2 linked regions of the Kluyveromyces lactis genome follow. The protein of the gene in region 2 interacts with the protein of the main gene of each other region in a pairwise test. Links are inferred from orthologs where the notes say so. Each region holds a gene or a part of one and is shown on either strand. Other genes may lie near its edges.

Region 1 (1,976 bases), on a different chromosome or scaffold from region 2:
TTTAGGTCTCTCTACGGAATTGGCCTCTTCATTTGCTGTATCATTCTCTGTTATGAACTTATCAGTCTCTTCTGAAGGTTTTGCTTCATCTTTATCATTGAGTTTGACCTTCTTCACAGGAGTTTCTGTGCTTTCTAATTCCGAATTCACCTCAGGAAGCGCACGTTTATTGCTATCGTTTAAAGTTTCTGGCATTGTGAAAAGCAGGAACAATATACTGGAGCCTTCTTGACAATATTATAACCCTTTCTTGGCATATGTCTGTGCTTTCAATAAGAACTGAATGTTTAAAACTAGTACTTTCTCTTTTTTTTTTTTTTGGAAATACTAACTCTGAGAGGTCCCAGTAATACTTAATAAAGGGCCTGCACTCCATGTGAACAAAGGCCAAACAAACAAAGATCCGTAATGATCGCCCATTGGTAGGTGAAACTGGATCATATACGTTAGAGTAAATATATCATACTAAATTAAGTAAAATCGTACTGTTATATAGTTCTTTATACAGTTCTTCTATCCGAGAGATAGTGAACGATTGGATTGACACCCGCAACTTGCGTTAACTTTTCGAACCATGCGAGAAGGATACCCCCATGCTTTTGACCCTCAGGTATAGACATACCCTTGTATAGGTATTTTATCAATGCGTCTTGTTGCTTGCGATCCAAGCGCTTAACTATATTAGCAATATCCACTTGTCTCACTTGGGTTAGCACCTCCAATATACCAGAGAAATATTGTGATTTCGCTTGTTCGTCGGCGTTGTATGGAGGATCAGTTGTGAATAGCTCAACAGCAGCTGCAAAATCACCAGATGATGTGTAAGAACGTAACTGTTGAATGGTTGGCTGTAACTCTTGTAAACTCACGGTATGTGAATATGGTGGTTTCAAATCATCCGCCGTTAATCTCCCACTTTCAGGATCGTAAGCATCGATATCAATTCTTCTCCAGTCTTCCATATTACTAGTTCAGAAGGCAGCTGCTTGGATGAATACGATAAGGATAATTCAGCGCTAATGCTTCCTGATAAAAGAAGTAGACCGGCCTGCAGTTATTTCGAGTATTTTAACCTAATCCATTTAAAGGTTTCCATTCAATATGAATCCCATTCAATAGTAACTTATAGGAGATATCCGGGTAATAAATCTGGAAACAGGGTAACTATGGTTTACAGCACTGGACCGATTGACTGTTTATCACTGACAGGAAGAACGATAAGCAGATGATAACATTATCTTCTTATACATATATATTAACTAAGTTCAAATTGATATAGATATACGGGTTATTCTTTGGTGGTTCCGTTTATTGAATAATCTTATTGTCTGGAATACCGTCGTATTCACCGTAACTCAAGGCCAGGTTGATGTTCTGTAAGCATTGAGTGGCAGCACCCTTCAATAAGTTGTCAATAGTAGCACAGACTACGACACGGTCTTTTGCATCATTTACCTTGAAACCACCAACAACTACTCCGTGAGTACCAGAAACGTCCTTAACTAACGGAATATCATCGGCAACATGTACCAACTTTTCGTTAGCGTAGAATTCGGTGTACAAGGCCTTAATTTGTTCTGAAGATAGTGAGTTCTTCTTAATAGGAATAGAAATAGTATGAGAAATACCTTGGAACCATTGGGCAACATGAGGAACAAATGCGACTTCCAAACCCAAACGAGTTGAAATTTCACGCTCATGGATATGGTTTGTTAAGGAGTAAGGAATTAGATTGTTGTTCAAGAATTTTGGATCATTCTTTGGAGATGGTGTAGTACCAGCACCAGAATAACCAGAAACACCAAAGACTGTGGGTAATCCTGTGATGTATTCCGATAGAGGAGCAATCGCTACTTGGGCACCGGTGGCGTAACAACCGGGGTTAGCAATCTTTTTAGCATTGGCAATTGCTTCTCTGTTGTTTAACTCTGGTAATCCGTAGCTCCATTCCGTCTCCGGGACAAATCTATGATCAG
Region 2 (3,573 bases):
AACACTCAACAGATGAGGATTTCAACGTTGGGATGGGCACATCGGCAAATGTATTCAGCGACTCTTCGCTCTACACTCCGTTGAATTACAAGAATGAACGCAATAGAAACAGGGATATGAATGGGAAACAAAGGGCACCAGGGATATCTGAAAACACTCTCAGTTTCAAATACGATCCGTCACCTTTCATACTCCATGATAATATACTAAACAAGACAAAAGTGGATCAATTGCAACAACAAGAGGTTGCCATGAGAAGACTTTTTGATAAAGATAGAGCAATACCTGAATCCAGGCTCAATGTACCGTATTACCAAACGCTATGGAGAGAACAGCTAGATTTAATGGATGATGACATGCCAGAAACAAGTCCGAAATTCGATTACTCGAACTCATCTCAAGATCTATACAAACAGCTCCGGCAGTTCCAAACAGCATTTGTCCAAAATGAGGCGTGGAAGTACGAGGAAAACACTGAATAGCTGGCTAGTAGTATTAACTCCTGTGACTATTTCATCCCTCACAGCTCACAAGATTATTCCACAGTGCGGAATATCCCAATATATCTAATGCAAATAGACTGCGACAAGCATAAATAGCATACGCAAATGGATAGACGGACGATGAAACCCGTGTAAAGCACCGTATGATCAGACTGCTGAACCAGGAGGCTTGTACTGGCTTTAATTCCCTTCAATTATCATAACATACGAACATCACATACTCTCTCCTTTTCCATTTCCAATCGAAAAGCCCTTTAAAGAATAAAGTTTAACATGGTGGAATATAAAACATAAACCTTGAAAGCCGTATTCCACGCCCGAAACAAGAAAGGAAGCCCTCGTCTTTCCTTCTGCCTATACGGTTTACAACTTGCAGTATTAGTGCAATTGATTGGAATCACAGCAATATAAACTGATCAATAATGAATATTATTAGATTACAAAGAAAGTTCCCTGAGTTTTCTCAGGAAGATCTCTTCGAAACGATAGAGCATTTTCGAAACATCGATCTAGAGGATAAGGGCTGGGTTGAAAAACCTCAAATTTTGGAATCCATTTCCAAGTCTGGTGTTGCATCTTATGATGAAGCTAGGGAGACTTTGAAGACCGTTGATGTAGATGCTTCGGGTCATGTTGAATTGGAGGATTACGTGGAATTGATGGCAAAATTAAGAGCAAACGGTTCATCTCAAGGTACGCAACAGGACGAAGACAATTCAAAGGGGTTCCCACAAACGAGCTTTCCTAACATTTCCGGTCAGAGCAACCGTGCACCACCGGTTCCAACTAAACCTAAATCGATTGGTTTGCAACACAAAGGTACTGGTGAGAAAGCTCAGATTATTGTCGGTGGTTCCACTTCTGGTACCACCCACACGATTAATGAAGAAGAAAGAAGGGCTTTCACTACACATATCAATTCCGTGCTAGCTGGGGACGCAGACATTGGTCATAGGCTTCCTTTCCCTACCGATACTTTCCAATTATTCGACGAATGTAGAGATGGGTTGGTGTTGTCCAAGTTGATTAACGATTCTGTCCCGGACACCATCGATACCAGAGTGTTAAACTGGCCTAAGAATAACAAGGCTTTGAACACTTTCACGGCTTCCGAAAACGCCAACATTGTGATCAATTCCGCTAAAGCTATCGGCTGTGTTGTGGTTAATGTTCACTCTGAAGATATTATTGAAGGTAAAGAACATTTGATCTTAGGTTTAATTTGGCAAATTATTAGGAGAGGTTTGCTATCCAAGATTGATATCAAATTACACCCGGAATTGTACCGTTTATTAGAAGAAGATGAAACTTTGGAGCAATTCCTAAGACTACCCCCAGAACAAATCTTGTTGCGTTGGTTCAACTACCATTTGAAACAAGCTGGGTGGCACAGAAGGGTCTCCAATTTCTCTTCTGATATCAAGGATGGTGAAAATTATACTGTATTATTAAATCAATTGGATTCAAATCTATGCTCATTGGGACCACTACAAACCACCGATTTGCTAGAAAGAGCAGAAGAAGTTTTACAAAACGCTGAAAAATTGGAATGCAGAAAGTATTTGACTCCAACGGCATTAGTGGCTGGTAATCCTAAATTAAACTTAGCCTTCGTTGCTCATCTATTCAACACTCATCCTGGTTTGGATCCATTGGATGAAAACGAACCTATCGAAATTGAGGATTTCGATGCAGAAGGTGAGAGAGAAGCCAGAGTTTTCACTTTGTGGTTAAATTCTTTGGAAGTAGATCCTCCAGTTGTGTCACTATTCGAAGACTTAAAGGATGGATTAGTACTTCTACAGGCATATGATAAGGTTATTCCTGGATCTGTAAACTGGAAGGTAATCAACAAGAAATCATCTGACTCTGAACTTTCACGCTTCAAGGCTTTGGAAAATACTAACTATGCTGTTGATTTAGGTAAATCTAGAGGATTCTCTTTGGTTGGTATTGATGGCTCTGATATTGTCGACGGTAATAAACTACTAACGCTAGGTTTGGTGTGGCAGTTAATGCGTAAGAATATTGTCAATACAATGAATGAATTGGCCACGACTGGTAGAGATATGTCTGATTCCCAAATCTTAAAGTGGGCTCAAGAAACAGTTTCCAAGGGTGGAAAATCATCCACCATAAGATCTTTCAGCGATCCTTCGTTGTCCAACGCTCACTTCTTATTGGATGTCCTAAATGGTTTGGCCCCAGGTTATGTGGACTACTCATTAGTGTTACCTGGTAAAACTGAAGAGGACAGATATGCAAACGCCAGATTGGCTATTTCTATTGCTAGAAAGTTAGGAGCTCTAATCTGGTTGGTTCCAGAAGACATCAACGAAGTCCGTTCGAGATTGATATTGACATTCGTTGCTTCTTTGATGGCATTAAAGAGATAATACAGCGATATTTCAAGATTTACTGTACTTCAGCTCTAAAGTCTGTATATGTATTTTCGAATCCTTAAGTCCTCACTTTCAAATAGTATGTGACTACTTTCAAATGATCCTTCATCTAATATGTAACTTATAAGCAACTCGCACGCAACATTACGATAAACAATAATTCTACACGATTTATTTGAATTATGTAAAATTTATAATGGTATCCTTGTAGGCTTAATCTGGTCTTTTAACTTTTCATCCCATTGCAGTTTCAAATTGGAGATGTATTTATACACATCTTCACAGCCGGTTGTATCAACTTCATCAGTTTTAATATATTCTAAACCGTCTCTAAAAGTTGCCGATCCGTATTTCATTTGCTCCTTCTCAAAGTGCGGATTAGCCATTGTTGCTACATATACAGGAGCATTGGCTGCTTTGTATCCTTGTATGTTGTGCCAAGGTGAACCAATCCATCTGGCCAGATAGAATAAGAAGAGCATACCATAGTAGGTGAAAACATTCAAATATTGGAAAAATGAGAGACTGGTAAAAATACCAGGATGGGTGAGATATTGGCGGATTCCGAGCTTTTTCATCTCTTTATATGTTGCAGAATGTAACAAATCAACTAATCTTTTTGAACCTTCATAAGAAACATCGGATTCCAATAGCTGAATATCTTGTAA

Evidence for each region.
Region 1: the proteins of SAC6 (region 2) and ARC15 interact in a protein complementation assay, tested with the Saccharomyces cerevisiae proteins (2 studies listed by BioGRID). The link is inferred for Kluyveromyces lactis from reciprocal best matches to the Saccharomyces cerevisiae genes SAC6 and ARC15.

Annotation. Positions count from the first base shown.
Region 1 is NC_006039.1:699,713-701,688, forward strand, and holds ARC15 (Arc15p), read right to left. Parts: upstream 963-1,976; coding exon 501-962; downstream 1-500. Other genes in the region: YRB2 (Yrb2p), read right to left, coding at 1-195; ARG56 (bifunctional acetylglutamate kinase/N-acetyl-gamma-glutamyl-phosphate reductase), read right to left, coding at 1,309-1,976. UniProt on the Saccharomyces cerevisiae protein: Functions as a component of the Arp2/3 complex which is involved in regulation of actin polymerization and together with an activating nucleation-promoting factor (NPF) mediates the formation of branched actin networks.
Region 2 is NC_006042.1:1,831,053-1,834,625, reverse strand, and holds SAC6 (fimbrin), read left to right. Parts: upstream 1-925; coding exon 926-2,899; downstream 2,900-3,573. Other genes in the region: KLLA0_F19800g (uncharacterized protein), read left to right, coding at 1-482; ERG27 (3-keto-steroid reductase), read right to left, coding at 3,097-3,573. UniProt on the Saccharomyces cerevisiae protein: Binds to actin, and functionally associates with actin structures involved in the development and maintenance of cell polarity.